Linked DNA regions of Drosophila melanogaster. The protein of the gene in region 1 interacts with the protein of each later gene in a pairwise test. Each region holds a gene or a part of one and is shown in the gene's direction. Other genes may lie near its edges.

What was found.
Region 2: the proteins of Hex-A (region 1) and Drat interact in a two-hybrid assay, tested with the Drosophila melanogaster proteins (one large-scale study listed by BioGRID).

The regions. Positions count from the first base shown.
Region 1 is NC_004354.4:9,583,917-9,589,159, forward strand, and holds Hex-A (hexokinase A), read left to right. Parts: upstream 1-1,973; 5' UTR 1,974-2,302; coding exon 2,303-3,928; 3' UTR 3,929-4,485; downstream 4,486-5,243.
Region 2 is NT_033778.4:7,525,700-7,531,505, reverse strand, and holds Drat (death resistor Adh domain containing target), read left to right. Parts: upstream 1-2,215; 5' UTR 2,216-2,428; coding exon 2,429-2,478; intron 2,479-3,529; coding exon 3,530-4,366; intron 4,367-4,433; coding exon 4,434-4,851; 3' UTR 4,852-5,271; downstream 5,272-5,806.

The DNA.
Region 1 (5,243 bases):
AATATATCTTTTAATTCTTGTTTTATCTTTCGGCAATTATTTCAAAGTCATGTTGATTTCTCTTTTTAATGCTCTCTTGAAAACTGATGGCCAGCTGACTTCTAGGTGCTAGTTTCTGGCCCCCGACTGTTGGTGTCTGGTCTTGTATAACAGTTATGAGGCCACATGCCAGCACACACGTTTGCAGACATGCCCTCTCACATACATTCCTACAAACATATGGATATACAGACATACATACGTTCGTAAGCCTGTATGTTCACATGCACTCTCACTTGTAGTTGGAAACGCTCTACTCGTTGTTGTTGCAATTACGGACGAGCCTCTTTGGAAAAAATGCTGGAAAACAAAAAAGATCACAAGACATAAACAACAATGCAAAAACGCAGCACCGAATGGAAATTGCACATGAAATCTAGCTGCAAAAATATGAAACAACAAAATTCCATTGAATGGAGAGCCAGAAAGAGCGAAGTAGAGGGGAAGAGAGTGAGAGAAGGAGGGAGCGGAACTTCAAACTGGGCGGCACGTACACACACAAAAGAGGGCAGGGCGGGGAGACGAGCCCCACGGACACTGAACAAAAATACATACAAATGCAAAGATATATGTATTTGAGGATGTTGACGCGTCGCTAGAACTTGAGAATTCCAAGAAGCGGTAAAAACGGGTGAGACGATGATGGTAGGGGAGTTGGGGAGGGGAAGGTAGCTGTCAACAGCTACGCAAACTTGCTCTCCCATTTTTCTGGGTAAACCTTGCTCTTTCTCATCTAAAACGGCATTGTTATACTAACACCGATGCCGAGGGAGAGCGAGATCGCTGAGAGTGGGAAAGCGGGTGGTGGGGCCCGGCGCCGAACAGGGGGTTCAAAGAACGAAGCCAATACGCAGGCAGCAACGAAAAATCCTATTGGCTACTTTTAAATGCGCTACCGACATTAAATGGATATAAATACATGTGTCTCTATCAAATAAAAAAATTTTGCGTACTAACTGGCGACCCACAATGGTAAATATAGTACAGGTGCTTACCTGTACCTGTGGTCTTACTTTTGACCTTCTTCCTTACACAATTTATAATAAAGGCAGTCTACATGTTTAGCTTGAGCTTAATACAAAAGAGATAATTTATTGGGCCTAGGTGGCGTATGAGTAATAAACGTATACTGAATATTTTCTAATAACTTGTTTGCAAAATCAGAAAACTGTTTTTTCTTATATATTTATATAATATATAATACATTTCTGTGCCACAGAAATTCCATTGCACCCCACAGTTTGTAGGGTGTCAATATCAGCCAAATTGCTGACGACGACAAAAGGCGGCTCTCTCATAAGCGGAAGCAAAAAGAGAGAGCGTCGCCGCCAGGCCCTTGTAGTTCCGCGTTTATGGCACGATAAGAACGAGATATTTCTTAAAAATGTTGTAAATTAGTTAGTTAATAGCGTAATTAATATCAAAACAAATTTAACACAGTGATAATAGGCGACCAATTTAATTTGTCAAAGAAATGCAAAACCATTAACCATTAACATTAATTAAACCATTAACATCTTAAGAAAATAATTTTTTTCCTTGAAGAGAAAAGCCTGAAATATATTGACTATATTTGAGATGACAAATTAAAATGTTTATCAAATGCGTGATCACGATATTGCTTACGCGACGCATAAGGGTTTCCGCATAAACACGCGTTTGACTCATTCTCATTCATAGCCACTCTCTCGCCCCCTCTCTCACGCGCACCCTATCAATATGCCATTTGTGGACCCCTCAGCGTCGCACATATACACGCCATATCTCCAACCATGCCGCCCCAAAACCGATTTTCAGTTTTTGACCTTCAAGGTTCCTTCACGGCGAGCGAGAGAGAGAGAGAGTGAGAGTGTGAGCGCGGCTCGCAGTCGCGGTCGGCGCCGGCAGCGCAGCAGCAGCGACAGCGAAAAGTGAGCACCAGTCGGCGAGTGAATTTAATTTCGTAAAAAACGTTCCGAGCGTTTGGACGCGTGCAGCGGACGAAAATAAAACACGGCGAGAGCGAGAATCGTGTGTGTGGACACTCAAAGACTCAAAATTGAAACCAACTCGAAAAGGTTGCACTGCAAATGCCCAAGTAGAAAAGCCAACGCGAGTGTGCACATCGAATACGAAAATTGTAAACGTTTTTTTTTTGCCGTGTGAGTGCAAGCGCATAAGATCGAAGAAAAACAGCCAGAGCAAGAAAGAACCGAAAAAAGGCAGAGAGAATCAAAAAAGAAAAAAGGAAAAAAAAAACAAGCAGGAAAACACCAACATAATAATGGATCGGGAGCTGAACGGGGCGATGAAGAGCGTGTCCATAAATAGCGCCCAACTGAATGGTCACAATAACGGTGGCGGGCTAGATGAAACGGACCGCGTGGGCGTGGCACAGGGGGCGGCACTGAGTGCAACAGAGAAAATTACAACAACGACGGCGGCAGCTACAAAATCAGCGACAGCGACCACAAATGCAACCACAGCAACAGCCACAACCACAAATCTTACAACTCACAGCCCGCAGCAAATTGCACTCTTATCCGCTGCAGAGAAAAGTAAGATGGTGCACGAGTTATGTCAGCAGCTGCTTCTAACGGACGAACAGGTGCAGGAGCTGTGCTACCGCATCCTGCACGAGCTGCGCCGCGGCCTGGCCAAGGATACACATCCCAAGGCGAATGTCAAGTGCTTCGTAACGTATGTGCAGGATCTGCCCAATGGCAATGAGCGTGGCAAGTTCTTGGCCTTGGATCTGGGTGGCACCAACTTCCGGGTGCTGCTCATCCATCTGCAGGAGAACAACGATTTTCAAATGGAGTCCCGCATCTATGCCATACCGCAGCACATTATGATTGGATCGGGTACACAGCTATTCGATCACATCGCCGAATGTCTGTCCAACTTTATGGCCGAGCACAATGTGTACAAGGAGCGTTTGCCACTCGGTTTCACCTTCTCGTTCCCGCTGCGCCAATTGGGTCTGACCAAGGGCCTGCTGGAGACCTGGACCAAGGGCTTCAACTGCGCTGGCGTCGTCAACGAGGATGTTGTCCAGTTGCTAAAGGATGCCATCGCACGGCGCGGCGATGTCCAGATCGATGTGTGTGCCATACTCAATGACACCACTGGCACGCTGATGAGCTGCGCCTGGAAGAATCACAACTGCAAGATCGGTCTGATTGTCGGCACCGGTGCAAATGCCTGCTATATGGAGCGTGTGGAGGAGGCGGAGCTCTTCGCCGCCGAGGATCCGCGCAAGAAGCACGTCCTGATCAACACGGAATGGGGCGCATTCGGCGACAATGGCGCACTGGACTTTGTGCGCACCGAATTCGATCGGGACATCGATGTGCACAGCATCAATCCGGGCAAGCAGACGTTCGAGAAGATGATATCGGGCATGTATATGGGCGAGCTGGTGCGTCTGGTGCTGGTGAAGATGACCCAGGCGGGTATACTCTTCAATGGACAGGATTCCGAAGTGCTAAACACCCGCGGACTGTTCTTCACCAAGTATGTGAGCGAAATTGAAGCTGACGAGCCAGGCAACTTCACCAATTGCCGCCTGGTGCTGGAGGAGCTCGGTCTGACCAATGCCACCGACGGGGACTGCGCCAATGTGCGGTACATCTGCGAGTGCGTCTCGAAACGGGCTGCCCACCTGGTGTCCGCCGGCATTGCCACGCTGATCAACAAAATGGACGAGCCAACGGTGACGGTGGGCGTCGATGGCAGTGTGTACCGCTTCCATCCCAAGTTCCATAACCTGATGGTCGAGAAGATCTCGCAGCTGATCAAGCCGGGCATCACCTTCGATCTGATGCTGTCCGAGGACGGTTCCGGTCGTGGAGCTGCCCTGGTGGCGGCCGTCGCCTGTCGCGAAGACATACTCAATGGCAAGAAGTAGGATGGATAGGGAGCTGGAGCTGGATCAGGAACCAGGAGGAGGAGCCGCTGGAGCAGCTGGAGCAGTCCTAAGAGATACAGCAACACACCCACACAACCACAAAAACAGCAGAGCAAATGAGAAATACCTAGTAAACGGCCACGGTGGCGTATGCGTAATAATTACAGTAGAGCCACGCTAACTCACAAAAGCCCTATAGCCAAACGATATGAAAAAATGAAGCTGCCACGACGAAAAGTAATCGAAAAGCCCACGAAAAACTTATATGTGCATACGTAGGGCATTTGTGAGTTGGCGCGACTTGGCTTTAGTATTTTAATTAGGCAAAAACCAGGTTTTTCACTACAAACACAAGCGTAACAGAAACCCCCCCACTAAGAGACAGAAGATCTGTGGCATTCTATCTCTTTCTCTCCTAGTAAAAGAAAACAAAGAAGAAGAAAAAACACTATGCTTAATGATTATGGATCGATTTTCGATTTTTGTTGAAAATTTGTTATGCTATTATATATATATATATTTTACAAGAAAACATAATATACACACACTAAAAACATAATGTATATGTTTGCGTATATATAGTACAATTTGTGAAGCGAATTTCTTTTCGATTTCGATTGAAACAACAAATTTTTTTTGGTAATTCCCTGCCCAAAAGACCCCTGAAACCCCCCTAAAAAAACGGAGATACTTAAGAGCAAGTGAGAAAAGAAACTGTTATACTACTGTGCTACAAGCATTCTAGCATATCCTGCAGGACAACGGAAAGAGAAACTGTAAAACCGCACATTGTTAAAGCAAAAACGAAAACGAAAAAAGCAACAAAAAACAAGCCGCTAGAGAAGAGACAGAAACAGAGGGATAGAAAGGAAGAGAGCGAGAGAGAGCGAGCGAGAGAAAGAGAGAGAGGATTACTAGGTAATGCTACGGTGTCCTTTCTGTAATTGTAAATGTTTATATAGAACCTATTACGAAGCGTTATATGATAATACTGCATACATATATATAAATATAAATATGATATATTTAGCCACTATATTACTGATTTTTTTTTTTGTAATGTATTGCTTGTCTTTGTTTAGTGAATTTGTTTGTTGTTAACACTTAAGCAGGTAAACTCTAAACAAAAATAAACTGTTTTTTTTTTTCCTTTTGATATAGAAACGCACTTTGTGAGCTATTATTTATGTAATTGTACATTTGACCTAGTTTAGTGTTTAGTTCTTATCTTAGTTTCTAAATGTCGTCGAAGAAGCCAGCAATACAACCAATATAATACCCCCACCCCAAAAAAAAAACCCAACCCACGCAGCCC
Region 2 (5,806 bases), on another chromosome or scaffold:
TCTTATCTTATTCTTTGTTGTGTTTTTGCAAGAAATTTCATTGTTAATGATTTAATATACATATTTGATGTTTGCATATGGCATATGTAAGTTAATAATAAGTAAATGTGTACTTATTCATTGATATAGGGGTTGTTAACACCAATAAGTAACTTGTTTTGACCATTTTGCTGAAGTTCTGCCTAATTATGAAAATAATTCTTCTCAGTGTTTGAGGCTGTTGATTAACCCCAAAAAGTAATACATACATATGTATAAATGTAAATATATACATATATGTATGTACGTACATACATTTTTTGGTAAGGATGCAAATGTGTAAAACGTAACTGCGTAAATGTAAGGCGTATTTATAGCGGCTTATTTACGCATTGTTGTTGTGTGGGCCGTACAAAGAAGAACAACAAAGCAGAGGAAGGATGCCCATTTATGCATTCGTGCTGCGCCAAGGAGCGAGCGAGACAGAGAGACAAATTGAGTGAGGGAGAGAAAAGAAAAACAACGCGCTCCCTCTCTCACTCACTCACTGTCTGGGCATGCCACTCAGGCGTGATTATCATGCAGCGAGCACGTGTACATGACTTTGGTTTTGTTTTGCTTGCCGCTGCCCCCTCACCAACGCCTATCAGTTTCTTCTCAACGTTTCATTACCATGCAAACATCCACCGTTCCTCGCTCCGCAAACACAAGCAACAACAATCGCAAACAGTTAGAGGTGCGCACACACGACATACGTAGATACACAGATGCATACATAGATACAGCAAGCTAACAGTTTGATGCATTGATTGAGATAAAGATACAAAATGAGAGTACCGACAAAAATAATTTTTCTTACCAAAAAGAAGATATGTAACTAGATTTAGCTAAATACCCAGAACCTGAAAAGCTTAGAACATTCGCTTTCATAAAGTAACACTGTAAGTATCTATCTATCTATACACCATGCATATGTAAGTTGTTTGTTTATTTGGCTTTCGAGTGAAGGCCGCACGACGCATTTTAATTGCATATTGCAAGCATTTGATAAATTTCCACTCGAGGCAGACCGCTTCCATTTTTCCATTTTCCACTGGAGTCCAACGCTTTGCTTGCGATTAACTGTTACCACCCGCCGAGAATGATGAGAATCAAATCGTGACGTGACTAATGGGGCATCCTCCTCCGATCTGCCTAGCAGCTTTCTAAGAAGAACATATTGTCATCGAAAGTTCTATAAACGGATCCGATGGCCACTTGGCAACGTGCTCTAGATGGCTTCCGTTCTTGGAGGGGTTTTTGGCCAGCTCCTGGACTTTGTTTTGGCCATAAATCTGTCGCACGCGTTTGCCTAATGCATTTGTTGTTCTTTATTAAATTGTTTTGATTGCTCTGCCTGTGGGCTTGTTTTTCTCTCGACTTCTGCGTCCTCCGTGTTAATTCGAATGTGTAAACAAAAGATAAACAACAATCTGGTTCAAGTACACTGCTACAATATTGGGCAAACTGATATCAACATATGTACATATCAATAGAAGAAGTTCAAAAACCAATTAGAGGAATTTATGAATGTTTATTGAAAATATATGCAAAACATTAAACAAAAGCAATAGAATGTTTATTTTCCAGTGGTGTAAGTAATAGTTGTCTATAAATAAATGTGAAATGCTCCGAAATTCACAAAATATGGAAATGCATTTCTATAGATGCAAATGCGGCCATGCAATCCACACAAATGAATACACTCATTTCAAATGTTTCACGCATTCCCTGCGTGCCGTGTATGTGAGCACACAGTGGCGTGCGGATGGTTTAACCAAGGGGTTAAGGATTACTAAGCTGAGTAAGCAGAGTTTTGGAGTTAAATTTAGCAACTAAGAGTGCTGTTGGAATTTAAACTTAAGTTTACATTTTGCAATCTAATGTAATCAGGGATAAATGAATTTATTTGATGCTTTTTAGTAAAGGTTTAAGAGAGTTTTTCAAAACTGAGATAAAAAGGTTGATAGTATTCCGTGAGTAATCTTTTACCACTATCTTTAAAAACGAAATTTATATGTATGCTTATATGTAAACCCACGAATGGCATACAATATTATTTGTTGGATAGATGAATTTGCGACCCCCTTTGCTGGGCCCCTGTGCGTGATGAGTGCGTGTGTGGCTGTGTGAGAGTTCCACTCGTTCCATTTCGTCACCGGCTTTTTTGCTTTTTAGCTGCCGCATCGAGTGAAGCGGCTCAGATGTTCTTTGGAAGTGCGCTGGTCAAGTCGTCGGAAAAGCGCCGAGAAGCAATTGCAGCTAAAGAAAAATCTAGCCAATTCACAAGTAAAAGTGTTAGTCAGTTTGTATAATAAATACACAACGCAGTTGAGTTGCAGTAGTGCAAAAAAACAAAAAAAAAAAAAAAGTGAAAAAATTAACAGAGAACAATTACGAGGACAGCAAAATGCCGGTCGATATATGCAGTCAACCGCACAATTTGCTCAGTTCAATGAGGTAAACTATTAAACGATGCTGATTGAATTTTCCCCATTCTCCCCAATCGAGTTTTCCAATTACCATGGCCTCTAAAGTGAAAATGCAATATGTATCGGGAAAATATCTTGAGTCTTAGGATTTCTTTTAATTTTTATTAGTTTTTAATAGCGTGTTTAATTTAGAGATTTTACTCACAGTTTTGAGTCATAAATTCTCCCAAAAAAGTACAAATGGGAAAAAATTGTGTAAATTTTAAGTATAAATAATTGTTTTTTGTTTTTTAATAATGTGGCATTTATTGCTAGCTGGTGCACTGAGATAAAAACTGATCCCTTATGGTTTCAATTGAGCACTTCCAGAGTTGAAATCATAGAAAAGTAACGAAAGTGCAAGTGGAGTAAGCTCTGATATGATACGATTCGTCACCATCTCTTATCAAACTAATTGAAGCGCCAGACTTCAGACCAGACTAATATCCGATATTATATCTGATATCTTTATGGCCATGGCTTTCCGGCTTTGCTGTATATTAACCAAATCTAATGTGTCCGATTCTAGCTCTATCTTTTGTCAGTTTATTGATGTGGAGTGATTCGTATCTGGATTGTCAGCAAGTCCAATACTTGACCTTTTAGATGTGTGCTCACTGTAATTACAGCACACAAAAAGTAGCTACATTAATGATATTTACATCGAGAACTCTGAATTGTGGCTGGCATTGAAGATCAAGATAGTCGTTTAGAGTGTTTGTATATAGGAAAGGCGAAATAGAACTGCCATATCATGAGGCGGCATTGAAACTATTGAGAACTACGCAATGCGACCTTGGATATGTAATACGCAATCGAAGCTATAGCAATCAAAAACAATCAGAGATATACATATCTTTAAATATATTTAGCTATCAAATAAAGGGTAATTCTCAAGGGATAATCAATTAAAAATCAGAATATATGTACAAAGATACAAAGATATATTTTCGAAATGAGCAAGCCAAGTTTAGTGACCATTTAATTCTTAATGGCAACACCTCTAAATATGATGTATCCATTCCTTTGTCTGATTGCAGTGGAACAACAGATACCTCGTTGTCGCTGAACTCATTGTCCCTGACTTCCGTTCTGCCGCCAACGGATCCCGATCACCATAATCCACACAGTACACACAGTACGCACAACATGAACAAGCTGTGCCGCCAAGTGTCAATTGAGTCGCCCGGTCCGGGCGCCAAGAACTGCGTCTTCAACTTCTTCGTGCCCATCGAGGACACGCCGGCGTTGGGCGCCCGCATCCGGATCGTTTGCGCCGGAGCCTGCTATCGTCGTCGCGATCGCGCCAACTCCATCACCAGCATGTCCTCAGTGTCCTCGGAGCTGAGCGACTACTGTCCGTCGGTGAACTCGATGTCCTCGCCCGCACACCAGGGCATCCGGGAGGGCTCCTTCTTTCCCGGCTTCGAGGTGGCCGGCGTCATCGAGTCCCTGGGCTCGGAGATCACCGAGGCCAACAACCGTGGCCTGCGCATTGGACAGCGCGTGATCGTCTATCCGTTCGATGAGACCCCAGCCGGCTATGCCGAGCTGCTGGTCGTGCCGGACCTGAAGCACGTGGTGCCCATTCCCGACAGTCTGCCCATGGAGGTGGCCGCCATGCTGCCGACGGGCGCCCTGCTCGCCTGGAATGCCGTCTTCAAGGCTCAGGCCGTTGTCACACAGATTCTCAGCCAGCGGGCTGCCACGGAGCCGAAGCGGAAGCCCAAGATCCTCATCGTGGGCACTGGCGGCCTGGCACTCTGGGCCGTGCGCATCGCCTCCTATCACTTTGCCACAACTGGAGCCGACAACGTGGACATCACAGTGGCCAGTCTGCGGGACGAGGGCTTCCGCCTGGCCACAGAAATCAAAAAGTAAGCATCTTGAGGTCCCTCTGATGTGTCATGCTCTAACCATCTAACATCCTCCTCCTTCCTCCAGTGTCAGCGTGGTCCAGTGGAACGAATGCCTGTACGAGCCGCAGCTGATCGAGCGCACCAAGGACGTGTGCGGCGGAGCCGTGGACGTGGTCATTGACTTTGGCACAACCTCCAGGAGTCTGCACCGCTCGATGCACTGCTTGTCGAAGGGCGGCGTTGTGCTGATCAGCGACGAGGTGGCCGAGAAGCTGCTGCCCAAGTTCTCGCGCCTGTCGGAGCAGTACCAGCAGGAGATCATCGCCATCTCGAACGGCACCGCCGAGCAGCTGGCTGAGCTGGTGGAGCTGGTAGCCAACAAGAAGATCGAGCCGCCGCCGCACTCCGTCTTCCCCTGCGAGCAGGCGGCCGAGGTCATCGCCAAGCTGTGCAACTCCGAGATACCCGGACGCGCCATCCTCCGTTTCCACGACATTGAGTAGGCGTGGAGGAGGATATGGTTCCCCATCAAGGCATTAACTCATTTAATATGGATATCTGTTAGCTGTATTCGGAAGACAACCGACAAAACCGACAAAACAACCTGCAACCTGCGACACTCTCGAAGCGGATTCAGAAATGTGCTTATTTTGTAGCCGGTCATTGTTTTGTAACCTTAATTTTGGACTGCAGACGAACTCCTCGTTTTAATTGATTTAGCGTTTTAGGCATTTTTAGTATTATGTACATATAGATTGTGATTTATTTTATTTGTAAGCCACCACCATGATTCTACTTTTGCAAAGTCACCCATCACATCGCCATATTAGCCGGAGTCAAAATTCGGCGGCTTCTTCAATGATTTTCGATTAAGCAAAAAGCCCAGCAGAAGCGGATTACAAAATAAATGTTATACATACTATACACGAAATTGTTACGCATGCGATGCAAATGTTTGATTCAATTGCTTGATGTTTGTACTCATTACGTACCCAACATTATACTCTACTCTTATTCACAAATAAAAACCATTAACTATCAATCCATGGGGGCTGATCTAGGTTGCAACTGCTTTTCCTGATATTTCTTAGGTGCCTCCGTAGGATGGCCAATTTGGCCTCTATATGCTAATCTTTCTTTAGCATACTGTTCCTTTTTTCAAAAGATATTGTAGGCAATATCATTCGATTACAAAGAGTATATCATCGCTAGCATAAAATTGATGTATAGATATCAAATTAGTTTCAGGACAGACTAGTTTTAGCCGATGAAGCTTAAGGTGCAGCAAATTTTCACTTTAAAAACGTTTTTTTTTTAGTTTCAAATGTAACAGCTATTTTTAAAGGTGAGCAACAAACAGATGTGGCAACCCCATAAGCGCTTCTCTTATGGTTGGCAGCCCAAGCCGGACTGATTGGTGTTGGAAAACGCCGCAGGTGGAATTGCGCCAAAAACTGT